Medicago truncatula: one gene and its partners. Each later gene encodes a partner of the first gene's protein in a complex. Links are inferred from orthologs where the notes say so. Each region holds a gene or a part of one and is shown on either strand. Other genes may lie near its edges.

What was found.
Region 2: transcription initiation factor TFIID subunit 5 (region 1) and transcription initiation factor TFIID subunit 7 share a complex: the UniProt entries of both Arabidopsis thaliana proteins name them as parts of the TFIID complex. The link is inferred for Medicago truncatula from reciprocal best matches to the Arabidopsis thaliana genes TAF5 and TAF7.
Region 3: transcription initiation factor TFIID subunit 5 (region 1) and transcription initiation factor TFIID subunit 15 share a complex: the UniProt entries of both Arabidopsis thaliana proteins name them as parts of the TFIID complex. The link is inferred for Medicago truncatula from reciprocal best matches to the Arabidopsis thaliana genes TAF5 and TAF15.
Region 4: transcription initiation factor TFIID subunit 5 (region 1) and transcription initiation factor TFIID subunit 13 share a complex: the UniProt entries of both Arabidopsis thaliana proteins name them as parts of the TFIID complex. The link is inferred for Medicago truncatula from reciprocal best matches to the Arabidopsis thaliana genes TAF5 and TAF13.

Annotation. Positions count from the first base shown.
Region 1 is NC_053044.1:52,381,364-52,389,071, reverse strand, and holds the start of transcription initiation factor TFIID subunit 5, read right to left. Parts: upstream 3,178-7,708; 5' UTR 3,068-3,177; coding exon 2,901-3,067; intron 2,815-2,900; coding exon 2,733-2,814; intron 2,636-2,732; coding exon 2,557-2,635; intron 2,191-2,556; coding exon 2,093-2,190; intron 1,982-2,092; coding exon 1,925-1,981; intron 1-1,924. Other genes in the region: uncharacterized protein, read left to right, coding at 5,715-5,840, 6,085-6,717. UniProt on the Arabidopsis thaliana protein: TAFs are components of the transcription factor IID (TFIID) complex that is essential for mediating regulation of RNA polymerase transcription.
Region 2 is NC_053044.1:41,301,139-41,308,231, forward strand, and holds transcription initiation factor TFIID subunit 7, read left to right. Parts: upstream 1-4,262; 5' UTR 4,263-4,457; intron 4,458-4,823; 5' UTR 4,824-4,825; coding exon 4,826-5,077; intron 5,078-5,182; coding exon 5,183-5,302; intron 5,303-5,412; coding exon 5,413-5,482; intron 5,483-5,777; coding exon 5,778-5,935; 3' UTR 5,936-6,340; downstream 6,341-7,093. UniProt on the Arabidopsis thaliana protein: TAFs are components of the transcription factor IID (TFIID) complex that is essential for mediating regulation of RNA polymerase transcription.
Region 3 is NC_053045.1:36,232,647-36,240,626, forward strand, and holds the start of transcription initiation factor TFIID subunit 15, read left to right. Parts: upstream 1-4,969; 5' UTR 4,970-5,166; intron 5,167-5,746; 5' UTR 5,747-5,795; coding exon 5,796-5,915; intron 5,916-6,271; coding exon 6,272-6,627; intron 6,628-6,732; coding exon 6,733-6,924; intron 6,925-7,980. UniProt on the Arabidopsis thaliana protein: TAFs are components of the transcription factor IID (TFIID) complex that is essential for mediating regulation of RNA polymerase transcription.
Region 4 is NC_053042.1:42,950,771-42,958,529, forward strand, and holds the start of transcription initiation factor TFIID subunit 13, read left to right. Parts: upstream 1-4,527; 5' UTR 4,528-4,685; intron 4,686-5,432; 5' UTR 5,433-5,453; coding exon 5,454-5,556; intron 5,557-5,639; coding exon 5,640-5,677; intron 5,678-5,790; coding exon 5,791-5,850; intron 5,851-5,952; coding exon 5,953-6,027; intron 6,028-6,576; exon of another isoform or gene 6,577-7,313; intron 7,314-7,696; coding exon 7,697-7,759. UniProt on the Arabidopsis thaliana protein: TAFs are components of the transcription factor IID (TFIID) complex that is essential for mediating regulation of RNA polymerase transcription. May be involved in polycomb repressive complex 2 (PRC2) mediated repression.

The DNA of each region.
Region 1 (7,708 bases):
TTAGTTTTCATTTCGTGTTCTTCTTCTCTTCAATTAAATTTTTTGCTTTCTTCAATTCAATTTTTTTTATTTCAATTCAATTCCTTATAATGATTTCGACATGCAGTATGTTGTGTTTTTTTTTTATTCCAATCAATTCAATTTCCAAAATATTCAATAAAGTTCAATTCCTCATAATTTTAATTAAACGATATGAATTTTTTGTTCTCAATCATCTTTCTTATCATGTGTACACCAAACACATGATAGGATAAGTGTCTATCATGTCACTATCCTATCCTATCCTATCCTTAACCATTTTCTAATCCTATCATGTCTCTTGAATATCATGTGCACAAAACGGACCCTAAATGGAAAACCACATTGATATGATGGCGGAGCTAGAAAAAAAGTCTAGAGTGGGCCATAAATAGTGATGGAGCTTAATTTTCTTACAAGTACATTTTATTATTGGTTAGTTCCAATGACTACAAATTTGTTATTTGTTGAATATAATTCAAACCGATATTTTAAAATCTGAACCGTTTATCAACCTTAATAAAGTACAAGATAATTGATCGAACAACTAGGTCATTGAACCTAACGACTGAATTAAATAACTCGACTTCAATAAACAGATGTATAGGTATTAAATCGAATTGAATCAAACGACCGAGTAAAAAAAAAATTAAAATAAAACTCATGACATATATATTAATGTAAAAAAGATCATTACATAAGAAAATATACTTATAATCAAGTACAATAATGAAATATATTTTAATTTAATAAAGAATATAGTATTTTTTTTTACCTTTTTTTTTAGGGAAGTTTTTTTTTTTTTTTTACCTAAAAAATAATGTTTATACAATTAAATATTTTTATGATATCATGTTTTTTAAGGATATTTTAACATTTATGTTATATGTTATGCATTATAAAAGATGGTTGAGGTCCTCTTTTATATAAAAAATATGTTATGTGTTTTGAAAGAGAATTTTTTTGACAAAAAAAGAGTTGAAGTTTCCTTTGTATAAAAATAAAATAAAATAAAAGAGTAAAGAGACAATTGTACCCAAAAATAAGAGTAAGGAAGGAAAAGATTATTTTAAATTGAATAAAGGAGTTATGTTTTATTAAAGAAAGAAAGGATTAAGTAACAAAAAAAAAGGATTATTTTAACAATTATGAATGCTTTTTTTTATACAAAAGAAAATAAAAGAGTAATGAAAATGGCTTTGGCAAGAGTTGAACCTAGCACATAAGACTTGGCAAAAAGGCTCTTAACCACTACAGCATGCTACACAATCATCATATAATTACAAAACATAATATATATATATAATAAGAAGAAAAAAATTGGGGATGAGCCATGGCCCACCTTGGCCCATGAGGGGCTCCGCCTCTGGATATGAAGAGTCATTTGCATTGCATTATGGGAAAGGAGAGTCCAAGGGCAACCCAACAAGGAATTGAGTGATTTGAAGTAAGGGTTGAAGCCCCAGATGGCTAACCCTTGAGATCATATATCATAGATAACTTTCATGACAGACACATAATAGGCCTACAAATTGTTCTGCCTGTTAAGTGACATCATTATGGAACAAATCCTAATAGCCAAACATTCTCTCAAAATAAAAAGCATCATATAAATTGGTAAAAAACAGATTCATGTAACACAGAAGAGAAAGCATGGAACGGGAGTTAAATTGCTGAAGGACGTCTGAAATTAATCCAGTAGAGTATGTTAGAAGATGAACACTTGGTACATTCACTTGAGAGAACTCTATGAATCTCTAATGTTATTCTTTCATTTCTGAATTCATAATCATTACAGTGTGCATCAGGTCTATTTAGAAACTGGTTATCCTACACACTAGCTCTAACAACCTGTAACTAACTTCGTCAATAAACTAATTCAGATTCAGAAGAATAAAGATATTACCTCACATATCTTTATGTTGAATTTACTTTGCCTTAGCGAATGAGCAAACTCCATTTCCTAAGTAAAAAGAACATAGTTGGATTATTCAAAACAAACTGTTGATGAATGATTATCCAAAAAACAAGAAGATGCTCAGAGAGTAAAATAAGATTTTAGATAGAAACTAACCTTCAAATGAGTAGGAGAAAGAACTCCTTCCAACTTTTGAATGTCACGTAAGTGCATCAATTCATGGTCTTCGCGGAAAGTAGTGAAAAAATTTCGAGCTGAGGACATCAAAAACAAAATATTTGATTTTATAAAACACATCTGATGGTTCACATTTCGGTCATGTTCGGATAAACAGATTAATTAAGCACTTATAACATAAGTGTCTATCATATAAGTTCTTGTATATAGGTTATTACTACAAGAAATCAAACTATTTTCGTATAAGGTAAAAGTTTTCTTAAGCTATCTTGGAGAGCTTATGGAAATCAACTGAAAAAAGCTTATGAATATGTCAAATTCTATTTCCATGAATTCTATCAAACATTCTCATAAGTGGTTATGTAAGTAGATAAGAACAAATAAGTCAATCCAAAACCAAACATTCCAATAAAACTATGCAAGTGTACATGAACTTATTGTACCTTCTTGAATATGCCCTTTCGCTACAAGGTCCATAAAACAATGGATAAACACCGGATAAAGCACACGAAGCAACTCATGCTGAAAAGAAAAAGAAAAAAAAGCAAAAATTAAAACATAATTTTGATTCAATAAACAAATTAAATGAAATTAAGCAATTAAACAGTGTATTAATTACCTTATATAAATCCAATGAAGAATAAGTCCAAGTTCTTAATCTACTATATCCATTATGATACCTTGCAGGACCATTCTCCAACCTGCAAAACACAATACATTACGAATTTACGTGAATTAGAGGAAGAATCGTTGAATGAAAAAATTAGGTTGAAGAATGGAAAATTACTGAGAGAATGCATGAAGGTGATTGGCAATGTCAGGTTCGAGAATGGAATTGGAGGATGAACTTGTTTTGTTTTGTTGAAATTCTTCTTGGAAAACTTTTTCGGTTTGTTTAAACCCTTTCTTCTTCAAGTATGCGGTTACGTAACCGAGAATTTCGTCTTCGTCCATTTTCGATTGCAAATTCGAGCTCAAAGCTCAAAAACCCTTTTACTTCACTTCACTTCGATTCTCAGAATCGCAGAGACACTTCGTGTTGAATTTGATTCTGGTCTCGTTAGGGTTGGTTCTGGAATCAGATCTGATAAATGGGCTTGGGCTCTTGAATAACAGGCCTTGCTCACTAAATCTCAGCCCAGATCAAAACATGTATGGGGATACTATTTACACTCTCCTTTCTATTGCTACACCCTCTTTTATCCAATCTTACCTTCTTTTTTTTTGTTTTCAAGAATAAGAATGCATGTCTTGCACGCATAAAGGATGCTTGAATCGCACAAAAAAAATTGTTTTAGAGCCGGTTTGTTATAGCTTTTTTAAGAAAATAATCACTTTTAAGAATATTTGATCCTTCCTTCAAAAAAAGAAAATTATTGGATCGTTCATTTGGAAAAAAAAAATTGGATTCTTTTGTTACAAGTTTTTTAAAAAAAAAAAATCTAAAAACAATTTTAAATGAGAAACTGTTGAGAGCATCTTCTCAAAAAAGTAAAACAAAATTCTAGGAGAAAGAAAATAAGGATCAAAAGAATTCATTTTATATAGTTTATATTCAATGCATGATATATGTAATGTCTGGGGTTCGAATCCCGACCATCAAAAAATAAAAACAAAGTAAGTTATTTCAAAAATATTTTTTTTTTTAAACTATGACAAACGCGCTCACAATTTTATGACATTTTCCTAACAGAAACAAATTAGATTGCAACTCATTATTACATATGGACTAAATCTAATATATTAAGTTGCATCATAAATTATTTCCTGTGTTAGCTTCTAACTGAACACTCGTTAATACAATCAAACAATCTAATATAATTAAATAGAAGTTCACATCAGTTCCCTGTTCATATATTGTCTAGTGAGACTGGGCAATTAGAGTGATATGTACGAAATGAAAAATTTCAAACTATGAGTAATAATTTATCACAGAAGTAAGTAAGCCTTACGTCTAAATAATTTAGTTAATGAGCCGCAAAGTTTGAGTATTTGGGACATCCAAAATGTAGAACTTAAATTGGAACTTGCTTCTTTAACCACGTTGCCCAATCTAAGTTCTAAAGTTCAAGTCAAGGTCCATTAACAGTCAACCATCCTTTGAAATTATGATTGATGATGATATCATCAATGATGAAATGAAACCAATTTTCTTTCAATTTGCGCGTGTGTTCCTTTTCTTATTTAGCCTAGCAGCCGCACCATAATGTTTCTGGAAGAGTTTTTTTATAGAAAGAAATTTGCAATTGCACCATGTATTTTATTGAAGTTTCCTAGAACCTGTTTTTCTCTATAAAAATATTCAACTTACAAAATTCTACGTAATTATTTTTAAAATAGTTATTTTATTGGGTGAAGAAAATAAGATTGTAAAAAAATATCTTACATGACGTATGATAATATCAATGGAAACTAATGCAAGTAGTTGATGCATAGTGTATGCGAGAGTTATAAATTTTTAACTATCTAGATTGATTTGTAGTCTTCGTAAAATGATTTTATAAATAAAATAGTATAGTATAAACTAAGGATATAAAATTGAAATATAAAAACTACACAAAAACTTGGTGTATCGTTTTTTATGATTAACATCCGAACTTTATACATTGTGGTTTACAATACACACACGATATGTATCAACAACTTATGTTAGATTTCTTGTCAAAAAACTTATGTTAGATTTAACGTTTTTTTTTTTTTTAGGGAATGTTAGATTTAACGGTTGATAGCCCCTCTATGTATATAGAGAGATATAGATAAATACAATTGATTTATTTGTTTTATCTTCTTATATATTAAAGTTAACCCGTAAGTCCTAATTTTAACCTAAATCCTATTGCATAATTTTACTGTTTTAATCCTAATGCTCACACCTAATCTCCTATTTTCATGAACAACCCTAATGCTCACACCTAATCTTCTTATCTTCTTATATATTAAAGTTAACCCGTAAGCTCTAATTTTAACCTAACCCTATTGCATAATTTTACTGTTTTAACCCTAATGCTCACACCTAATCTTTTATTTTCATGAACAATCCTAATGCTCACACCTAATCTTCTTATATATTAAAGTTAACATGTAAGCCCTAATTTTAACCTAAACCCTATTGCATAATTTTACTGTTTTAACCCTAATGCTCACACCTAATCTCCTATTTTCATGAACAACCCTAATGCTATCATCTAATCTTCTTATATATTAAAGTTAACCCGTAAGCTCTAAATTTAACCTAAACCTTATTGCATAATTTTACTGTTTTAACCCTAATGCTCACACCTAATATCCTATTTTGATGAACAACCCTAATGCTCACACCTAATTTTGACCTCTCTTCCTGTCTATGCTCTTACCTTCTTCAAGGCTCCGTCAGGTATAATTTCTTCCCTTGATTCTATTTTTTCTAAATTTTTTTGGGGGGGTTGTGAGGTGCTTAGGAAACTCTCTTGGGTTAGTTGGACCACTATTTGTTCACGGCGGGAGTTTGGAGGTTTGGGGGTGCGGAGGTTGAGGGAGTTTAATATTGCATTGTTAGGTAAATGGTGTTGGCGGCTGTTGGTAGAGAGGAATAGTTTATGGTATAGGGTTTTGGTGGCGAGATATGGTGAGGAGGATGGGAGGTTGGAGGTTGGGGGCTGGAGTGGTTCTGCGTGGTGGTGAGAAATCGCTAACATTAGGGATGGGGTGGAGGTTTCTGGTGGTGGTTGGTTTCAGGAGGGAGTATCTCGTATGGTGGGAGACGGGGTAGATACTTTATTTTGGCGTGATGTGTGGGTTGGTGATGTCCCGTTTTGTGTGCGCTTCAGGCACCTTTTTGACCTTACTTTAGATAAGTCTTGTTCGGTTGCGCATATGTTCTCTAGTGGGTGGGCGTTGGGGGAGAGGGTTGGAGATGGAGGCGGAGGTTGTAGGTGTGGGAGGAGGAGATGCTGGGGGAGTGTATTATTTTACTTCGTCATGTTTCTTTGCAGTCTAATGAGAAAGATACATGGAGATGGGCGCTGGATCATTCTGCAGGTTATACAGTCAGGAGTGCCTATCATTTGTTGACTTCTCAGGATCGGCCTCAGGTGGATGGTGCTGATGCTTTGGTTTGGCACATTCATGTTCCGCTTAAGGTCTTTATTTTTGCTTGGAGGTTGCTGAAGAACTGTTTGCCTTTAAGGCAAAATCTAGTGCATTATGGTATCCTTCCAGCCACTGTTGCGGGCTGTTTGTTAGGGTGCGACGCTTTGGAGTCTTCTCAGCATTTATTCATCTATTGTGATTATTATGGTTCTTTGTGGTCTCGGGTTCGGTCTTGGCTTGGTGCCTCAGGTCCAGACCCCTTATTGGTTTCAGAGCACTTCTTTCAGTTTACTCATTCAGCAGGAAGGGTGCGGGCTCGACGCTCTCTTTTGCAGCTTGTTTGGTTACTTTGTGCGTGGATCATTTGGAATGATCGGAATCAAAGGTTGTTTACTAATATAGGTAGTTCCATTGATCAGTTGTTGGATAAAGTGAAGCGACGCTCTTTGTGTTGGCTAAAAGCTAGTAATATCGTTTTTGTTTTCGGTTATGATTTGTGGTGGTCAAGGCCTTTGGATTGTTTGGGTCTGGCCTAAGTTTTTGTTGGACTTTGTATATCTGTAATTTTTTGGGCTCTCCTTGGTACACCTTGTACTACGGAGAGTTTTCGGTTTGTTATTATATAGGTTTCATTTTTGTTTGTTCAAAAAAAAACTTAGTTGGTAAAAATATTGTTGTATATAATATTTCAAAAATATATATATTGTTGCATATAAGTATGTTAAATCAAAGTTAGAAATTCGACTTCTCCATTTGTGTGCGTGAGTTTTCAATAATTTTTGTCATTTTATCCGTCTATAATAATAATTTTTGTAAAAGGGATGTGCTCTAGTAAAAAAAATATGTTTGCCATTTTGTGTGCATGAACTCCAACTTCTCAGTGTTATTGTTCGATGCTACAACCCCTGAAGTTTAGTGGTCTTTTCGTGTTCTAGACGTGCTTTGAATTTGGATGAGATGTCATCATTATTTGTTGTGTATAAATTGTATTCGCAGTGTCACGATCTCGAACCCATATCATCAAGGTTGAGTGGTTAATTTTTGTGTGTAAATTGTTATTATGCATTTTACTCTTAAGCATAATGCGTAGTAGTTCACTGGACGAGTCTAGTCAAAGAAAGTTAAAAGATTTGACTAACTTACATGGTCATTTGGTAGATGAATAAGTGCTTATATAAGCGTTCATTGAGCTTTAAAGTTTACTCTAATCTTGATGGACCCTGAAATATCAACTCACCTACAATGACTTGTCACCGTCTCACGGATCTACACACATGAAATTAGAGGGGCAATTGCCCCCACTAATGATTGTATTTTTTTTGAGAATGTTTGTATTATATTTATTGAAATGTTTGATATTTTAATTAAAGGAATATTAATAAGTGTCTCAAGATCAACTGATAAGAAATTCAAAAAAAAAAAAACTTTATCTTATAAATGATGTTATTAGTAATGTAGCTTAATACAAAAGTATTATTTTCAAAAGATATAATTTTTGCATAGCCAAGTTATCACAATATTATTATT
Region 2 (7,093 bases), about 11 Mb from region 1:
ACAAAATTTATTTAGAGGCTCCACCCCATATTGTTTCAGATGGTTTATGGGGTGGCCATGAAAATGGAAGGAGACCAATGAAATCTTTCTTGACCTTGTTTGAGTTACAATTGGTTATCATTTTTGCACTCACGCAAATATGTCGTTTTCTTCTCAAATCTTTGAGACTCCCTCAATTTCTTTCACAAATGATTGTAAGTATATCCAATTGACATGATTTTCAAAAAGAATAATTTCTTTAGTGCATGTTTAGATTCACGGTGAATCTATCAAAATCATCGTGAACCATCCTAATTTTGCAAAAATAATATTTTGGAACTTCAACAAATAAACCCATCATGATTCAACATTCATGTGGATAAATCGTAGTTATTAGATAAAGTTAAATTGCATATAGAAAATAGATTTTGTTTCTAATATCATTTCTTCCATGTGTAATTTTCATTTGAAATGCATTACTCCATTTGTCCCACAATAATAATCTACTTGACTCTTTCAAAAAAAAATAAAAATTATTTGACCATTTCACACAAATGAAAAAAGTTATATAAATAAAAGAGATAAATACTAATGATACTAAATTATCATTATTAAGTATTGATATATTTCTCATTATTATAAATACAGAGTAAAATATATCGAGTTGAGAGTAATGCAATTAGTATTAATTAGAGTAAAATTGAAAAAAAGTAATACCTCCTTCAAAATTAAAAGTGATTGTAATTTTCAAACAATTTTTTATTATTCCAATAGGTTCATTATGGGAGGATATAGCGAATATTTTGTAGAGAGTATTTTCTAGAACTGAAATTAAACACACTACTCGTACCATTTGCAGGCTGGATTGAGCTACGACCATTGGACGCATACATGGGCAAGTTGTTTCCATATGGAACTCATGAAGTAATTTCATCAATAGGTATGGTTCTTTTTGTTTTCATAAATGGTGTACAAATGGATTTCAGCTTGATAATAAGGACGGGAAAGAGAGCATGGATAATTTCAATAATTGGATTATTAACAAAACCCCATTATGTGTATGTTTTATACCACTACTAACATAACATTGCATGGAAAATTGGAAGCCATTGAAAAAATAGGCGGGGAACTCACAGTCTAAGTCAATTTGCAACAATTGCTTCACTCCTAAGTGAACTTCAAATCCAAAACTCAGAGCTTGGTAGATTGTCTTTGTCATCGGCTTTGGTCAGCGATATACTGACCACAATTAAAGTAGTGCATTTGTTTTGGTTGTGCAACAACAACTCTCACACACGAATGACCTTAAAGGGTGGATTTTGTAGTTGCCAAGACATGATAGAAAGAGTATATCGTGTTTAAAAATAGGTTAAAATATGTTTTTGGTCTCTGCAAATATAGTGAGTTTGTATTTTGGTTCCAGGTAAAATAAATTTTCGAAATTCATCTACGCAAAAGTTTTTGTTTTTTAAAAACGTCCCTGACCCCACTTTCTTGACGATTTATCACATTTTTGCATACATGGCAGAGGCTGACTTTGCATCCATGTACACATGACATTTACATAGATTTAAATAATTTAAAATAAAATAATAAATCAGAAAATGTTATTTTAATTTTTATTTTCTAATTCTAAAAGATCATAAAATCCCTTTCTCTGATCATCTCCTTCGTCCTTCTTTTTTCCTTCCTTTTTTTTCCTCCTTGATCCCCTTTGTTCATTCTTCTTCTTCTTCCTAACGTTCCTTCTTTGTCGAATTTACCCATTCAATGTTGAAACAAAACCATTCTTGTTCACCCAATGAACAGTGACAATAATGGTTCTCTAATCAAAGCTTGCTCCATTCCAAACTCAACTCCATCCTTCTGTATGGGCGGCGCAAACCGGGTTTTTTCTGTGACGGTCGTCGCCGTCATCATCATCAATTGCTGAGATTAGCAAATCTTGATACTTTTTCCAAGACATTCTAGATCTGGTTTGAGAAGATCTTGAAAAAATCTTCAACCCAAGTTCAAGAACAACAAGATCTCGAAAGAATGGGATACTAGAAAACGCAAATGCATATGAAGATGAAGATGATAAGTTTCTTTATTTGGGTTGAAGATTCATGTGGAGAAGATAAAGATGTGTGTATTTTATTTTTTTCATTTTGTGATGAAGGGTACTGGAAGAACACGTGAAGAAGGAGAAGATGAAACAAATTAAATAAAACCAATTTTTTTCTTATGAATTTTGATTTTATTTTAGCAAATGATTTAATTTTTTTTTTAACTAAATAACATTAATTGTTTTATTTTTTCTTCAAAAAAAATTAATTGTTTTATTTTAATTTCAAAAATATAATTTTTGTCTATTAAAAATATTTATCAAATAAGTTAATTGAAATAAATGCCACATGGACAAAGTAACACAGTCAGCTAATGCCACATATGCAAAAAAGTGACAAATCATCAAGAAAATGGGGTCAACGACTTTTTTAAAAAATAAAAAATTTTGCAAGAATGGATTTTAATTTTTTTTTTTTTTTACCAAGGACCAAAAACATATTTTAACTTTAAAAATATAGGTACTTAACAACTTTTATATATAAGATAAGACAACTTTTTTGCTCAAAGACATAACAACTTTTATCCAAAGATTTTTTTTTTGCAAAAGATAATATGATAAGATATTAGATCATTTTTATTAAAAAAAAAGGCAAAAAAAATTAGACAGAAAAGTTGCTACAACCTTTTCCTTAGAGACTTAAGAACTTATAAATGAGATACGAGATCATTTTTTGTATAAAAAAAAAAAAAAAAAAAGAAGCAAAAAATTAAGAAATCTACAACAATTTGTTTGACTCTAAAAAATGGTCTAAGAGATGTAAGAACTTTTTTATAAGTTAAGATACTATATTCGACCAAAAAAAATGATAAGATACTATTTCTTTCAAAGAAAAAAATCACAAAGGAAAATCACAACAACTATTTTTGGCTAAAAAAATAAGAACTTTTATAAGATACTATTACTCAGCTCAATTGTTAAGAACACTAACAAAAAAAACCATAATTTAAAACATATCTTAGAAATTAGGGTTTTTTTGTTAGTGTGTTGAATAAAGTGGATTCTTTATATCCACATGCTTTATTCCTTGTTTATTTCATGGTTGAGCATAGTGGGTAAGTCTAAAATTGTCATTTCTCTGCATTTCTGAAGTTGAAAATAGGAGATAGGACTAAAACTGCAAAAACATGATAGTTTAGGGACGGCTTTGTTCGATTTGAAAGAGGCAAGACCATTTTCCTGAGCTTATCAAAATGCGAGAAGTGTAATTAAACCAAAAATATTTCAAAAAAATAGTTAGAATTTTTTAACAAAATACAAATTTTTAATCGTAAAATATATAAAAATTCATATTAAATTTATGTTTTGTTAAAAAATTCTAATTTTTTTAGGGAGAGATTCTTAAAATATTATGAATTTGTCTGCAAAATTTTATTCAAAAATATGAATTCTACATATGAGTTTACTTTAAAAGATGGACCAAAAGTAGTGATTGAAAATTTTATAGGGACTAAAAGTTGAAGGAAAATTTTAAAGGGACTAAAACGAAAAGTTGGTATATTTATAGGGACCAAAAACATATTTAACCCCAAAATAAATAACTCAAATTAAAGAGAAATAGGACGTTCGTTTTTCTGATATCTTTTCGATGATCACTTCCGTAGTTTGAACCGGTCTTTTTTTTTTTTTTTTTTTCTTCCGGTAAATCTCAATGAAGCCCTCATCTTCCTTCACTCTTCAATGTTTCCTTTCACCCTTTGCAACAATTATCTCCAGTGTTAATTTAGGTGGATTAATTTAACTTCTTTAAAAAAAAAAAAAAAGTAAAAATATCATTGATGTTCTAGATATAAAAATATCTTGATCGAAAAAAAAATAAAAAAGATTTTTCTTTAAAAGGGATAAATTACCTCCAATTCATTGAGGTATAACGTAAAAAAATCCTTATTTACAAGGTTCTTGCAAAAAAAAAAACAAAACTGTAAACTCTCTTTTATACACTGCTATATCCAAATAAACTGAATTATTAAAAAAAACAAACAAATTGATTCTGTTTTTTCATAATATCTTTATAAAATAATCTCTAAATTATTTTTTGGGAAAATTAGCTAACAAAAATACCCTTAATTGTTACTTTTTCCTTTAAACTTAGATCCAACGGTTATAAGCTCATCCTAGAGAAGACAACAATAGCATCCGTTGGATGAATGATGAATCTGACCCAAACCAAAGCCACGTGTTTTCTTCAATCCCCTTCATTTGCTTCATCTTTTTCTCTCTCTTCTCTCGCAAATCCTTCCAATCCGAAAACCCTAGCGCCATCGTCACTTTCGAATTCCGGCTGCCACAGACCTCATCTTCCAAAATTGAACCGATCAAATTGTTTCTTATCATCTCTTCTTCGAAAGCCCTCAATCAATTTTTGATTTTTGTAAGTTATTTCGGAAACATTCAATGTAATCATGCTCGTAATAAATCAATTTTAAAAATCCATGGGCCTCAGTTCAAGATAAAATCACTGATTAAAGACTTCACGATATCGTGCTCGTAATAAAAATCCTTTTTTTTTTGTTGTTTTTGTTTTTCCAATCAATTTTGATCTTTTATTGTTTGTGAAATTTCATTTGAAAATCCATTGGAATTGTCTCATGAATGCTGATTATCATTGATTATTGGTATATACTGATGCAGTTATGAAACCAATCAATTGCAATGCCCGATTCTTCAATTCAATTCAATTTGATTATATTATTATTTACTATTTGTAATGATTCTAAAAACAACCTGATGGAATTAGATATGGAGGAGCAATTCATACTTAGAGTTCCACCTAATGTTGCGGAGCGGATTGAGCGTCTTTTGAATGAAAACAATGCTTCTTCATCTGAAGACAAGTCGCTAGATTTGCAATTTAGCGATGATGGAAGAAGCGGAACGTTTGTGATTGGGGATGAGCATTTCCCAGCTTCTCTGCTGGACCTTCCTGCTGTCGTTGAATCTTACAAGACTTATGATGATAACTCTTTGGTTAAGACTGCTGATATTGGTCAGGTCAGGTATCTATCGTTAATTCATATTATTTGTTTATTCTTAATCATACTCCTAGATTTGGATGATTAAATAACTGATTGCCTTCTTAATGAATTCAATTAACAGATGATTATGGTGAGGGAATCTGGTGATGCTGCTCCAGATGTAATTGAGTATCGACATGGTCTCACCCCTCCCATGAGAGATGCCCGTAAGCGTAGATTCCGCAGAGAGCCTGACCTTAATGTAACATATTCATATGTGCTTGCATTATCTTAGCATACCTGATGCCGCTCTATTATCTGTGCGTTTGTGTGTCCCTTACTTACCATGTGTTTTCATTCTTCGTTTTCCAGCCTGAGCTTGTCTCTCGTGTTGAGAAAGATCTTCTCAAAATCATTGCTGGAGGAACGGCTGAAAATATTGATATCCTTTCATCTTGTTTGTTTTAAGCAGTTGTTTAGTAAACATTCTAAGTCTTAGATTCAAATTTACGATTTCACTTTAAAAAAATTCTTTGAAATGGAGGTCTGTTGAGATTTTTTTGTCGATTACTTTCTTTGCCCTGATAACTCATTTCTCTATCTGACCTGGGGTTCATGGCATAGCTTGTAGTATCTATTTGCATTTGCATTTGCATCAATGACAAAAGCAAGTGTTTTGCTTTCATTATATTGTTAATTGTAAACAACCTTTGGCTATTTTCTTGACTGAGATTCACATGTGGAAGTAGCTGAGCAAGAAGGTGGTGAGAATGCTCGAGGTGCTAATAAAAAACCTGCAGCTACATCCGCATCAAAGAATGATGTTCCAGAGACTCATACAAACGCTGGGGATGCTGACAGGAGTGACTCTGATGACTCTGATGACTCAGTTTAACCGATATTAGCTAGCTACCAAGGAGCATTTATATCAGATGAATGCTTGCAACACCTTTCTTGACATGTTCTTGAACACTCTTTATGATTTAGACTTTTTTTTTTTTAATAGTTGATTTGGTTGTCTCACTTTTGAAAAATATACCCACCTTTTTAGAAATGAATCAATCATAAAAGAGTATCAGAAAGGTGTTTTGTTGGCATTCACTATGTATAATCATGTGCTGTTGAATTTGAATCCCGTTTAGAGGAATAAGATGGGCTGCAATTGATTTGTTATCCCACATTGTGCATTTTGGTACATCATTTGTTGTATTTTAACACCATTTTTTATTGTGCAACTGCCTTTAAGGTCCTAATTTACCCAGCATATATATGAGAATAAGATTAACCATTTGTTTTTTAAGCTATTGCGTTTTAATGTTCTGTCACCGTGTCATTGTACAAAGCAAATGCGTCATACTCGATTTAAGTTATGTTTAGTATTTATCATCTGTTGGCTTATATTGTATTTGATTAGTTTGTAAACATGTTTGGCTAAAACAGGTGTTTGATAAATGAGTTTATTTACTGGGTTATTGTATGTTTTAGATACTATTAAAAGTTACGTTGAAGTTTATAGTTTAGTGTTGAAGGTTTCCAATAATAATTGGTATGAAGCACTAAAATTCAAAGGATCAACGGTACTTCAATATAATGAAAACATTAAACCAAACTTTGAAATGACAATGTTCAAGTGAGGCCTAAAAACATAAATTATCTACTTCACAACTAAATTAGAAGTTTAGTGGCTACACATGGAGGAATTATCAACAATACATAAATAAAAGAGGAATTATGTCTCGACGAAGTAATAAAATCAACACATTTATTAAACTTGCGGTTGACAAGATACACCGAATGATCCCAATCTAGACGTCAGAACTTCATCTAGAATGAATTGGAGAGGAGAGGATGGAGCAATCTCCGAATTAATCAAAGCAACCATCGCCGAAGAGGCAACTTCAAAACACAACACATTATTAAGATGGAGGTTGTGAGCAGGACGACAAATTCCATCACTCGAGGCCACAAGCTCATCCAATAAAACTGGAAATTATCTTTGAGTGGAAGTAATTTACCAAGCGACTTAACTCATTTCGAATAGTTCGTCCTATAG
Region 3 (7,980 bases), on another chromosome or scaffold:
AAGGGGGTATGTTGAGCATCTCCCCCTTGAAACGAGTTGTTGCGGTCAAATTGTGACGTGTAAAGTGGCAATTGTGACGTGTAAAGTGGCAGCACACCACGCCTCTGGTTTGAGGTTCATGTGTACAGTGCCTCTTTCATTTTCGCTACAATCAGGGAATAAAGGTGTCAATGATTCAATTAACCCTGGTTCAGTTAATTCTTCCATCAATTGATTGAAGTCTTCCCCGCAGTCGTTGTCGAACAAATTGTAGTAACTATCCTCTAACCTTAAACTAACCAAAGTGCAAACAATTGACTTAGCCATTAATAATACTACTTTGCCAGGAACCACCATCTCATATTTCTCCTTATCAGGGTCTTCAGAGATAAGTGAGAAAATTATAATGAAAAATTGTAATAATGAACAATTATTTTGAGATAGATTGATAATAAACTTTATCGGGAGAGAATGATGTAAAAGAAACTATAAGAGTGATAAAGAATAAGAGAGAAGACAATTAATGAAAGAGAGTGAAACATCAACGATAAACTTCAATCGTAGCATTGTCCCTAACTTTAACCTAACACAAACATTGACCTTGTTCAAACTTGAACCCTAAACACCAATAAGTCATAAGAGAAATTTGTATAACTATTAAACATTGTATGATAAACATGATGTGGAATAAATAGTCACAAGAAACTGGATTTAAATTGCGATCCTTTTAAAATTATTCCTGAAGCTTAATAAGTTTATATTCTCAACAATTTTTTTGGTAAATGTTAGTCAAATAAGATTATAAAGTTTTAAAACAAATGGTTTATATAGGACCAAAACATTTTGTATTAAATAAACTTTAAATGTTTAAATAGTTTGAATAAGGACCAAAATATTCTGGATGAAATAAAATTTGAATGTTTAAACTGTATCAATTAAGGACCAGAATATTCTAGAGAATAATTATATATTTAATATATAAGCAGAATAAGAAAAACAATATTAAGCTTAGGTATAAAAACTTTTTTTTTTTGACAAATACTATATTGTTATGGAGAATGATTAGATAATTAATATTAAAGCATAATGATCAAATAATATTATATGTTGATTTAAACGTGAGTTTACTATTCAGAAATTGTTTTATATTGGACCAAAATGTTCTGGAAGCAGTTATATGATTAATATTAAATAAAATGATAAAATAATATTAATTAAGGATCAGGGTGGTCTGAAATTTGGTTGTGTTTTAAATAGGACAGGAATGTTCTTGATAGATTAATAAAAGAGTAAATAGTCAATTTTCCTCTTGAAATTGTAAGTTTCATCAATTACCACCCTGAAATTAACAAAACTTCAATTACCTCCCTGAAATTTCACAACGTTAGTCAATTTACCCCCTCCGTCAAATTTTTCTGTTAGTGAACATGACGTTTTGCAAATACCCCCCTGAAGTTTTGCACTTATGTGCAAAATGCCCCCCAAACTTAAAAATTTATATTATTTTTTTCTTAAAAACAAACAATTAATAGTTAAATATTAAAACTAACTATTAATTTTGGAATTTGGGAAAACTACATGCATATATACATCAAAATAGGCTCTAAAATGGGGAAAAATATGTATTTTTTAAAGTGACAATAATGGGATGATTTGTGGATTAATATTGGGGGTTGTGTAGTTTAAATGGTTTGAGCAAATTGTTGAAGGAGTTAAAAGACTAAAATGGTGAAGAAGAAAATATAAATTTAAATCTGATTATTAATTTGTTTATAAACCTCTAAAAATAATAATTTGTCTATTAGAAATAATCATTATTGTCACTTTAAAAATACACATTTTTCTCTATTTTGATGTATATATGTATGTAGTTTTTCCAAACTCCAAAATTAATAGTTAGCTTTAATATTTAACTATTAATTGTTTGTTTTTAAGAAAAAATAATATAAATTTTTAAGTTTAGGGGGCATTTTGCACATAAGTGCAAAACTTCAGGGGGGGTATTTGCAAAACGTCATGTTCACTAACAGAAAAATTTGACGGAGGGGGTAAATTGACTAACGTTGTGAAATTTCAGGGGGGTAATTGAAGTTTTGTTAATTTCAGGGGGGTAATTGATGAAACTTACAATTTCAGGGGGAAATTGACTATTTACTCATTAATAAAAGTATTATAATTGTGATAGTGTGTGTGTGGTGTAACACAAATAATAAGAGAAAGGAAATAGAGAATAACACAGGAGATTTATCGTGGTTCATCAAAGTTGGCTACTTTCAGTCCCCACACTTATGAGTGGCACTATATTTTCTTGGTCACACCGAATCAGCCTCTTACACTATGTATTGTCAACCTCATTAGGCTTCTACAATTCTTTGTTTTTGCAAAAGAAAGGTTGGAACAATTCTTACTCAAACTATTGTAACGAATAGACTTGAGAACTATATTACACTTTGTATGATGAGATGATTTTTGGATCAAAGATGTTTCTCAACTCATGTTTGAGATTCTAATAAACAAACTCAAAAGATTATGATCCAATAATACAGTGAGAGAGTTGGAGTTTGTTATTTATGAAGATTTTATGTTGTAGTGAAGATTTCACATACATAATTATGTTTTTTATGTTCAAACTATTGTCATAAACCTTCATAGCCTTCCTCTATTTATAGGAGATGTAAGCCTTGGAGAACAAGCTTAAAAAAGAGTTGTTGAACACGTTTTTTAATGAAAAAAATGCTCCATAATGTTGCTTGGTGAGAAAGCATGAATTATGTTTACTGAGAAAGTTATCCAAAACGTTTTCTCTGTTCCATCCAATATTGGGCACAAAGTAACACGTTTTGCAAGTTAGTTGTAATCTTGTTGTATAAACTTGTTGGTCACCTTTTAAGACGTGTTGATGTCATCTTGATGTCATATGATGATGCCATATCTAAGGAACGACTTTGAGAACTTTCTTTGATGGTTTTGCTTACCCAGAACTTGAGCAAAAGAAGGAACATGTTTTGCAAGTTGTTATGATGGTAATATTGTTGTAGAAGCTTGTCAGCCACTTCATAAGATGTGTCGATGTCATATGCTTTTTTCACGAGGAACAACTTCGAGATATTTCTTTAATGGATCTTTTCACTTATTCCTTAATGGGTTGAACTCTTTTAAGGTCATTATGATGAAATCTATGTTCTTTTGCTTCCATGTGCAATAATGTCTTGATTTGTCTTGACATTTTGTCTTTTAATTCTTTAAGGATCTTGATTATTATGACCATTTATTCCTTCTTTTGATGAGACAAAGAGAATAAAATTTATTTTTGATCTTAATTACAAAGATCTTTGACATTGCTCAAAAGTTCACATTTTGTCATTTGATTTGTTTGTTGTTTTGATGAAGATGTTTTTGTTAGCTTTGCAAGGTCAGAACATTCTCGTTAATACATTCTCACAAAACACGTTAGTAGATAACAAGATAATAATTGTAATACGTTTGTTATCATTGAAACATCAAGAGAGGATGTTCTCCTCACTTTGTATAACCATAATGTTCTTTGTAGGAACATGAGAAACTTTTTTCAGTCAAAATTCCTTTGATTGATTTCTATTCTCCCAAATCATATCTTGAATCATCCCAAGTCTTTTATGATGAAATCTTAGTGCATATGATCATCAATTTTCTTCCATGTGATCATAAATTTTCTTCTTTGATAATTCTCCAATTAATGAACGACTTAATGAATAACTCATTCATGAATTAGTTTCTCTTCAAAGTTGATATAATCATTTCGATGAAGTAATGAGAATATTTTCGAGTGTAATAGTCATCTTCATCATGAGAACATTCTTTCATTAAAGTTGATAATGTTCTCTTCTATACGAGAAAACAATATCTTCTTGGTCAATTAACCTTAAATTATGCAATTATTCTCTTAGTGATTCCATACAATGTTTCTTGTCCATTGAGTATCTTTCAAATATTAACCATTTATTCGTCGAATCTTTAAGGCTTTGTTGAAAACTATGTCGTGACGAGGACGAGTCAATTAATCATGAAATTCATATTTCTGTTGAATCTTCAATCAACACTTATTTGATTCAAATAATATTTCTTCTATATCTTCTTTAAGCCTGTGGTGCTACTATTTTGATATTCTTCCACAAAGTATATATATACACTTGTAAGAGACTTCTTTTTTATCTACTTCTATTGAAAAGACTTAAGTGCAAACATTAGTAGATCATCATGGAATGAAATTAAAAATACACAATTAAATAAAATCCAGAATTATGTTCTATACAAAATGTGAATAACATTTTAATGTAAAAATATCAATAGTCCTTATTTTTTTTTTTTGAAATATCAATTCTCTTTATAATTGCTAGGGGAGGACGAGTAAAAATTGGTAGGAGAATGAAAATTTGGTAGGAGAATTCAAAAAGTTAGCTTTTAAAATTTTCATGTTTAACTAGCATAGTTAAATAAAATTCATAAAATACATTTATCATCTTCCATAATTTGAAATATTAAAAAAAAAAAAATCATGTAATCAAATTTTTTTTTATAAAGAAATAAAAATAAACAAATATGTCATTTTATATTTACCAGTCATTTTACCAAACATTTTAATTTTAATAGGCTATATTTTCAGTTACAAGTTATCAGTAATTAACTATAAACTAAATTTTTCCCTTAAAAAAAAAAAAACTATAAACTAAATTTTCAACTATCAACCAGCTTATATCTTATTTTTACCAACACACCATTTTTTATCTCTCTCCGTCATATATTATGGACTATGAACCATTACCAAACTTATTTTCAAACCTTGTTAGCGGATGGTTTAAGCGTGTGTCCATTTCAACGACGTAGCTGCTGTTTTGTTTTTCTCTTTTTTCATGTAATAAAAAAAAAACATGATTCTGAATTTATTATTTATCTGACCTAAGTAAAAGAAATTGCTGAAAGTAACAAAAAAAAAAAAAGAAAAAAAAAAGGAGAATGGCCGTAGGGATAAGCTGTTTGCTATAGGCGAAATAAAAAGGAACGCGAATAAATTAAAACGAAGAGAAATTAGCGAGGAGGGGGATACTGCAGACGGAGCGATAAATCACAGATCTATCTATTCATCGGAGAAGAAGAGAACATAGCAGAGCGCGTGCGTACTTCTCTCCCTCACGCGCTTCTTCGATTCTGGTTAACTCTTCTTTCCCCTCTTCGTTTCTTCATTCCATTTTCCTGTATAAGAATTGAATTGCAGTAATTTCGTTTATTTAATCAAATTATCTTCGTTCCTCTTTCAAATTGCTAGATTACTTCATTTGTTATCTCTTTCATTTCCTATTGCATATTTTGCATTATCGTACAACAATTATTTTTTCAATTTGTCACTTAAACCTATGATATTTGCAGCTTCCGCATTCAATTTTGAACTTATAAAAGTGATATAGATTCGTTTTTCTTATGATTTGCATCCATAGTCTTATTCAATTAGGTTAGCATTTTCATACGGTTTCACAAGTGCTTATGTCAGTTGATAAGCTCAAATAAGTCAGTCCAAACAATTATGTAGTGTTCGCATGCTATTTAGTACAAAATGTCAAATAGCTGTTATAAAGAAGCTATAACATTATCGCATAGCGGAATCTGATTAAATCACTATTTTCCGCGAACCGCAATTGACAATACTGGTGTCAAGTATCTTGCTTCTTTTACAATATTGTATTTAGTTTTTACACTGTTAAAAGAAGTGACGTGCATTTGTTTGTTTTCTCAGAGCTCTGTGCTGGTTCTCATTGCCTTTTATTTCATGATATTGAGATTCGATGGCAAGCATTCCTGGAAAATTTGCTCCTTCTAATGGATCTATCTATGTTTGCAACTTGCCTTATGGGACTGACGATAATATGTTGGCTGAATATTTTGGCACCATTGGAGTAATAAAGGTATGGAGTCTGCAACTATCCTTCGATTCAAAACAATGCTATGTTATTCTCCAATTTTATTTTTCAAGGAAAGGAAATTTTACAGGATTTAGGAATATAACTACCAGAACGTGTTGGTAATGTTTGTGACTTTATTATGGTCAGTTTGGAAATTCATATTTCTATGTAAGATGTGATTACTTGAATGTTTTTTTTGTCTGTCCTTGCAAAGTGAGGTTTATTTGGGATTACTGAATGATTGATTTGTTTTTTTTTTTGTTGCATTTTGATTTCCTATTTATGCGGTTCTGTTTTTCTGTGTTGCGTTCTATTTCCAGATTATCATTCATTTTTCATTCACAATCCATGTTTTGCAGAAAGATAAACGTACAGGGAGACCTAAAATATGGTTATATCATGACAAAGAGACTAATGAACCAAAGGGAGATGCTACTGTGACATATGAGGATCCACATGCTGCCGTGGCTGCTGTTGAGTGGTTTAACAACAAAGATTTTCATGGCAATACAATTGGAGTTTATATAGCGGAGTCAAAAAACAAGGATGACCAAACATATACTGCAATAGCAGAACCGGTTGTTGCGGGTACTGATGTCGGACCAGAGGAAACTGAAAGTGATGTCGATGGTGTTAATGGAAGAGGCAGAGGTCAAATTGATGCTTCCAGCAAACCATGGCAACAAGAGGGCGATTGGATGTGTCCGAATACAAGGTCTGTGATATGAGATCGGTGAGCAGCTCTTTCTTGCTCTTTTACACATTGTTTCAGTCATAGTTTTTTGCAGAAAGAATAACACTTTTTTTTTTGTCATAGCAGTTGCTCGAATGTGAATTTTGCTTTTCGGGGTGCGTGTAATCGCTGTGGAAGTGCACGCCCTGCTGGTGCTTCTGGCGTTGCAGGAGGAGGTGGCCGTGGCAGGGGACGTTCTGGGCCAGATGCAGGGGGTATTGGCCGTCCAGCTGGTGCAACTGCAGGACTATTTGGTCCCAATGACTGGCCTTGTCCAATGTACGATTTTGTCACATTATCCATCCCCACATTCTTTCCGTGTGTCTGATTTATTTATACTTGTTTTTTATTTTATATTTTGTTTCTCAATTCTAATTCACTATTTTAGCGATAACAATTAACACATATATATTTCTTATTAAATTTGATAAACACGTTGCCCAGTTTCATCAATTGGGTTACTCATTACTTGTTGTGTTGTATTATGTTGGACGTAGTGCTGGCGAACAGTTAAGCCACAAGTAAATTGAATATGATAGTGAGATATATGTTTGTATATGTATAATACACAAAGACAACATACTCTTGTGAATGAACATGGCTCAGAGAAGAGTTAATGATACCTGTTTTCTTTAATTGATACCTCCTGATTTTGCACTTTGCAACGTTGGCTGCATGAGATTTGTTAACTTTGATAAGGAAATTTTATAAACTAGCCAAATTGCGTTCCCTTTTGCATTGAGTATTAATTTTGGCACATCCCGACCCAATCTATCATTTTATCATCTACTATTCTAGTTCTCTATGAATTTTAAAGGAAGCAATCATCATGTGAGAGGTTGATTGAGTGCAAATCTAGTGGCCTTTCCAATTTATATAAGGTCAACTGATTCTGTTACAATTTACAGCCAATAAGTGTTTATAGGCTGTTGATAATATGATGATGACGTTGAGGTGAGCTTTGTAACTTCTTTGACTTTGTTGTTAACCTCTCCCCGGGTTCTGGTTCTTGTCCTCATCTACTGAACTTCTCTTTCCTCTGTCTCTTTTGTCCTTGTGGGTTGTGACAGGGTTCCAGTTGTTGTAGCAAATTTAGGACTAAGATTGTACACTGTTGGAACTTGGGAGTGTAGTGCAAGTTGGCTATATGATATGGGGCTTATGGTCAGTTATATTATCACTAGTTTTTATTCATTTTGAATGAGTCTTGCTCTGCTTAACTGAACAGGCTAATATGATACGGGGCTTATGGTCAGTTATATTATCACCAGTTTATTCATTTTGAATGAGTCTTGCTCTGCTTAACTGAACATTAGGCCGAGGCTGTTATACAGT
Region 4 (7,759 bases), on another chromosome or scaffold:
CAAGGAATAAAGCATGTGGGTACAAAGAATCCACTTTATTCAACACACTAACCAAAAAAACCCTAATTTCTAAGATATGTTTCAAATTAGGGTTTTTTTTTGTTAGTGTGCTGAATAGAATAGATTCCTTGTGCCCACATGTTTTATTCCTTGTTGATTTCATGGTTGAGCATAGGGGTAGGTCTAAAACCGCCTAAAATTGTCATTTCTCTGCGTTTCTGAAGTTTGAAAATAGGAGGTAGGACGAAAAATGCAACAAAAATGATAATTGAAGGACCATTTTGTTATGTTTTAAAAGAGCAGGACCAGTTTCGTGAGTAGGCCAAAACACGAGGACCAAAAGTGTAATTAAGCCTTCATTATATGTGTAGAGAGACTTTCATCCTTTATCCGCCGTGCTGGGGTTCATGGGGATATTCATGACACCTCTATTTGTAGGGGTACTCCAATTATTCGCATATGATTGTCTTTTGTTTTTAAGGGCAAAAGAGAATGAGACACAAACCATGAAGCACATTTTATTTGTATATGAAGCACGATCAAGACAATTAATTAGTCTACCAAAATAAAAAATATTTCTCCAACCATTCAAAACTCTATCAACAATACTTTAGATGTTTAAGTTGTTTATTAGACAATGGCAGGTACTTAGGGCCATCTTCAATTATTGGGAGAAACAAGGGGGACACTTTTGATTTTATCAAAGACCAAGTGTGGCAAATAATAAATTCGTGGAGCAACAAGTGTTTATCTAAGGCAATCCTTCGGTGGGTGCGTGAGATACATGAAGAGTGGGGAAATAAATTCTCGAAGATTTTTTCAACTGTATTTTGAGAACGTACTTTTGGAAACATCATACTTAAAATCAAAGAGAATTTATTTTCTCACTTCTCACACGCCCTCCAATCTGAAAATTTCATCCCGTTTAAAATTTATAATTCGAAGCATATTTGATGGTTTCCAGATTATCAAATTCGAACGGTTTTTAAACAATTTTATAATTTCAATGAAATAAATTATTAAAATGCCATAAATTAAAATGACAAAATTTAAAGAGGCATAATATAAATTGGCAAGGGTCAACACATTTTATCATTTGATCAAGAATTCATAATACATTCACATTAACATAACACTTATTACAACAAAATAGTACACATATAACATTAAATATTTGGTTTAGGAAGATGAAGGGAGAAAAAGATTTGTCATCCCTCTCGCTCACCATCTGAAAAAGATGGGAATACAAGATGATAGAGTGAGAGAAGGCGACTCTGATTAGCAGCCCCAAATCCATACGAATCCCAAATTCAAACAGATATGGAGTGCAACTTTGCAGAGGGAAACTAATAAGAGGATATCAGCTGGAATGAGAAATTGTGAAGAATGAGTGAGTATTTATATGCAAAATGAAAACATAAACTATAAAGAGAGTCAAGGGAGGGTTTAAACACATGATCAACAATACAAATCCAATCAAAAACATATGGAACATGCATGAAACTAGTGAGACTTGCTGACCAACACACCGCCTAGATTTTGGACTGGTTCAAATTATATAATCCGAAATTATTTTGATTTTTTTTGGATTACGTAATCTGAAATGTTATAAGCATGTGTTGAAACTTGTGTTTTGAAGGGTTTGGTACAATTCATATTATATAATCCGAACCAGTCAAATACAAAAATATTTATGTGGTTCAAATTGTAGTGACAGCTTCTGTGGTCTATGACACATATAAGCTTCTATAAAGTAGAGTGTTCTGTTCATTTGCAAATCACACCGCAAAATCATGGACACTTATCCAATAGATGTAAACACCATGCTAGTTGCAGTTTACTACAACAGAGGAAAACTTAATTGGTTCAGAGTCCACATTGATGTCACACTGTCTGACTTGAAGGAACAACTAGACCAAATAAATGGTCGAATAAACCACAAAGATATTAGGAGGATGAACAATTTTCAGGGATGGTACAATGATCGACAAAGACCTTCATATCAATTATAATTTAAAGGGTCTTGTTAACGAGTGCCCCTGAGACACTCTTTAAGCATCAAAAATTTAGTAATTATTCTTTTAAAAAGTCAACTACTACAATTTCCAATGCATTCAATACACAATTTTTTTTTTATTAAAAATTTACCATTTAAAGTGTTTAAAAAGTGCTCTGAAGACTCTCGTTAACATGTCCCTAATTTAAATTATAGATTTTGAAGGACACATGAGAAAGGAAAAATAAATTCTTAAAACCAAATTTGCCCAGGTAGGTTGGGCTAGTACCAAAAAAACCCACAAACATTTTTTTTTTTTTTTTTTAACGAAAATATACAATATCCTTCTTTTCTTATCCTATTTGATTTCTTAGTGGTCTTATCTAGTTCGAATTATAGAATACGAACGACGGCGTAAACACCTTGTAAAAATGTAAAAAAATATGTAAAAATATTTCAGATTTTAGAATCTGAATATGATTAAAAAAAAAAAAACAGCATCGCAACATCATCTACTTGAACGTGGTAGAAAGAGGAGAATTAACTCGCGTATCTGTTTCTTCGGGCAAAGGCTACAGTGGGAGACCTCTTTAGGTCTCCTACCGTAGGAGACTTGATTTTTTTTTTGCAAAACATTAGATATACTTGTAAGTTTTTTAATGGTTGAGATTTGTAGGTTTTGTAACCTTTTAGGATTCTATTTTTTAAACATAAATATTGATTTTAAAAATGCAATTAATTTTGGAATCATTATTAAAAAACTTTTTGTTTAATACTCTCTTTATTTTTGTTTAAGTGTGAATCTAACGTTCTTATTTAACGGCCGTTTTGGTATTTTAAAAGTACAATTTGTCAGTTATACCCTTTGTTAATTACTCTTATTTTTTTTTAATAGAACTAATTAATGTTATATATTTGAAATTTCAATAGAACTAATTAATGTTATATATTTGAAAAACTAAAGTTTGTTTTTTAATAAAAAAATAAAATAAAATTTGTTTCTTATTATCTTAAAATTGACAATTGTTTGTTATGAGAGATAGAGTGTGCAAAAAAATAAAAATTTGTTGGAGAAAATGATAGTAACTAACAATTGTTTGTTATGAGAAGACAAGTGTGCATAAAAATAGAATTTTGTTGGAGAAAAAGATAGTAACTAACAATTATTTGTTGGAAGAGATCATAAAAGATATCACTTTCCGTCATTGTTGCCTCTCATCCATCCTCGTCGGACACATTATAAACTAACATAATAATTCAGTGCAGGTCTGGGCATAATTCATGAATTCCAACTCACTGAACTTGATTGTTGAATAAAAGGTTATTTAATAAAATTCTACATTAATTTTGATATTTTGAAAATAGTTATAAGTTTTCAAAATTTTATCATATCGACTTTTTTTTATGTATGTGTATAACAATTTATTTTTGCATATATAAAAAAATAAATTCTACAATTGACTGATACACTTCAATTATTTAACAGATATTTGTATAAATAAAATAAAAATATTTAATAGAAACATTGCGTTAATACTTAGGGTGTTCAAAATCGAACCAACCCAATAAAAAACCGCAAACTGAACCAATCCAAACTGAAATTGTAAAAAACCGCATTTGGTTCGGATGTATTTGGATCACTTTCTTACTCAACTGTATAGTTTAGTTTGGTTTGTGGTTTTTATTTTATCAACCGAACCAAACCAAATCAAACCGCAACATAAGATAAACACTAATTAAACATTTGTCACCTAAACCAAACACTCACATAGCCTCAATGATAACTTTTATAAAATGACATATTTTTTGCTTTGTTAAATTTCTTATTTGATTTTTATTTCAAAAATATATCTGTGTTACTTGGACTTTTAGATAATGTAAAATCTTAGTATTTAGAATTTCTTTCGAAATAGGATAACTTTTTATCCATCTTTTTAATTTGGTTTATGTTGTTGGGAACATTGTTAGATGAAAATGAAATTGTAATGTTGAATGACATTTAAAACATCGTTGAAAACATAGCTGAAAATATGTTGTGTTCTAGCTTTTTAACTTGATTTTAACGTTGAAAACAAAAAATTGTATGAGAAAAACCACACCAATTGATCCAACCCAAACCACATTGGTTTGGTTTGGTTTGATTCAGATTTTATTTTAAAAGCCGACCGAACTAAACCAAAACGCATGTCTGTTTATCTTACAGTTCATATGACTTTTAAGTATTAACCGTAAAACTGAATCAAACCGCACCGCGAACACCCTAGTTATTACTTGTAATTTTTATTTAACATTTTTAAACATTCAACAATATTAACAATCCAAATTGTTACACCCCTACTAAGCATTTATATTTTGTAACAAAATTTGGTTCCTACAATTACTTATTTATGTTCTATGAAAATTCTACTAAGACCAAGTTCTTTATGAAAATCTTACTAAGGCCCACTTACGTTTTATGAGAACCTTATTAAAACCGCGTAAAATTAAAATATAATTGAAAATATTCCAAATTTTTCTTTATACAAAATAATTAAAAAGGTGGCTTTTATAATTCCCTCAACAAAAAAATGGCTTTTATGATTGCTTAAGCAGTGCACAGTAAAACAACCTACAAACGTTGCTAATCCACATCTCGCAGCGTGGGAGACCCATCAACGTAGCGCACCCTAAACGGAGCCGTTTCTTCGAGGTAAGAAGATCCAACCCACACTGCTCTTTCTTTCATTCGTTCGATTCAGTTACTTGAAACATGCAAATTTTGCTGTGTAATGCTAGGTTAATTGTAGTCCCTGTTTTGTTCATTGTTGAAGCAAAATCATCATAACCCATAATAACTCAATACGAAAACAGGGTAATAAGTTCTCAAATTAGGGCTTGATTTGGTAGAACAATAATTGAAGATAATGGAGAAATGCATATTTTAGTTGTTACAATTCTGTGAAACTAATGGGGTGCAGAAAAATAACCCCTTTTGTTTGTTTTCTTGTTTAACATGTTTGTTCGCAAGGTGTTTGTCAAAATGCCTCAATAAGGTTAATACCTGAATTGGAAATTTTATCATAAATAAATAAGTTTAGTTGTATTGCATGAAATACTGACACATACACAGACACGATCTTGACACTGACACATACACAGACATGATCTTGACACTGACACATCAACACTAGTGATAAAAAAAGTGAATTAATTGAATGTAATCACATTTGTAGTTTTCAGACACCCGACACGCCTTCAATCAGAGGTGTCAGTGATACGATGGTTGTATTTGTATTCATTTTGATGACTATAAGTGTAGTCATCATTCCAGTTTTTATTCTATAGGATTATGTGTGCACAGGAAGCATAGCAGAACCTGCACACATTTATCAAAAAATTCAAGTTTTATGTATTTTCAGTTTCCTCTTTCCTCTAACTATAGTTACTAAAATGACAGTGGAAGCATTAACCAACAACAATGAGCAATTCTGCCGCCGGAACCTCATCAAAACAAAGAGCAGCTTCCTCACAACCACCAGACACTTCATCCAAGCGCAGAAGAGGAGTTTTCCAAAGAGAATGTAATAATTTTTGTTCCTAAGTTTTTAAATTTTAGCGTAGTTATTTCTATTGTCTTCCTAATCTTCTTCATTGGTTTCTATAGTGCAGCACATGATGTATGGCTTCGGAGATGATCCTAATGTAATTCTCATTCTAACTTTTTCATTTTTCATACTATGTTTGCAAATTTTTTATTCTTTAGATTATGATATTAATTTGAACTTTTACTTATTCTTGTTTTCCACTTGAATTAGCCACTTCCTGAAAGTGTGGCGCTTATGGATGACATCGTTGTAGAATATATTACAGAACTGGTAAGTATCATTCTAATGTATCTAATTGTTCAACTTAGTCTAAGTGCCACGGAGTGGTTGGCCTTTGTCCTTACATGATTTTTTATTTATTTTTTTGTCAAGGTACATAAAGCACAAGATATTGGATCACAGAGGGGGAAGCTATCAGTTGAGGATTTCCTCTATTTGATTCGCAAGGTACTCTTTTGTTAATAAAAGTTGCAAATATAAATCTTGGGGAACAAGAATCTAAATTTATCTTCAAATACTGCTGGAAATGGAATGCTACATACATGCTGTTGTCACTATTCTCAAGGGAACCATGTGATTTAAAAAAGTTTAATCACCTGCCCAACATGTATTAAAAGAGAAATGCAAAACTAAATAAATGAAGGGTTAATGGTGCTTTACCCCCTGTCATATAGGTCATTTTTGGTTTTCCCCCTGTAAAATATTTTTTTTGATTTACCCCCCTGTAAATTTTTTTTTTTTTTTTTACAGGAAAACCAAAAATGACCTATATTACAGGGGGTAAAGCACCATTAACCCATAAATGAATAACTTAACTGTTATAAGAATACTAAGAAAAGCTAACTAAAATTCTAATGAACATTTCTGTACACAGAATACTATACTTATTGAACATCTTTTTGTAAGTACTTTATTTAAATCTTACACTTCTATTAGCTAGAAATATCACTTCTGGTCTGCCTTTATGGATATATGGTCTTCATTTGCTTATTGCAGGCAATAAGCATGCTATGTCACAGTGGCCTGCAATGGTGGTTTAAAGTTAATAGTTGGGAAGTTGTTAGTTGTTAGTTAGTTACTGGTATTAGTCTCCAATTCAATTTTTATACGAGTCTTTAAAGGTCTTCTACAGAGAATTCTTTCTCAAGTAGGATATTCCCAAGCTTCTATAAGCCAAAGTCGGTATTAATGGTTCTTAAACTTCAAACCTGTGAATCAGTTCCTAATCCTAAATAACCTGTATTGGTTCAATAATCGGTTATCTAATGTATCTGTCAAATCTGAGGTTAGGATCTATAATCTTGCCTTAAATCGCTTAACTCTTTGGATCAACAGGGTAATTGTATGGTACATTATTCATTAACAATGAATATGGGCACTGTTAGCACTATAATAGCCGGACTGCTGGACACAGTTCTGTTGTTGACTATACGCTGCCAACTTCCTCATCTTAAACTTGATTGACCATGGTGCTGTCCTTTGGACCCCACTCATGCATAATTATGCTGTACATATATCTCTTGTTTTGATTGTACATTTTTGTTGAGATTTCCCTCCCTTCTTCCATAGGCTTTATAGTTCTAGGACAATTTATCAGATTAACATTAGATCTCTTATCATTGATCAAACTTTGGGTTGAGTGAACTTTGTCTTTTGAGGATTAATAAGTGCTACTAATGAAGCTAAATGCACCATAAGATGCTAAGATTATGTGTTGCAGCCTCCTTGCAGAGGTTAGTTTTCTGGTTCCTTAAAGGCTCATACACACTTCGGCTTAAACCTTTCCTACACTTGGCCAGGAGTTCTGAGATATAAACTTACATATTATGATGCACATGCACTAAAATGAAGGTTATTTTTCATCGAGTTGAGCAGATGCACTTTGATATTATTAGAAAAATGCACTAAAATGAAGGTTATTTTTCATCGAGTTGAGCATATGCACTTTGATAGAAAATATTGAAGCTTGCATATAAAAGTTTTTGTTAAAAAATTTATCTACTCCTATCAAAGGGTCGAATTCAGGAGACAGTAGTTAAAAATGACAAGACTTGCTCTGACCATGATCAATCTTGATATTTTGACCAAGACTCATAAAGCTTCTTGTGTACTGCAGGATATGCCAAAACTTAACCGTTGTACAGAACTGTTGTCTATGAATGAAGAGCTAAAACAAGCA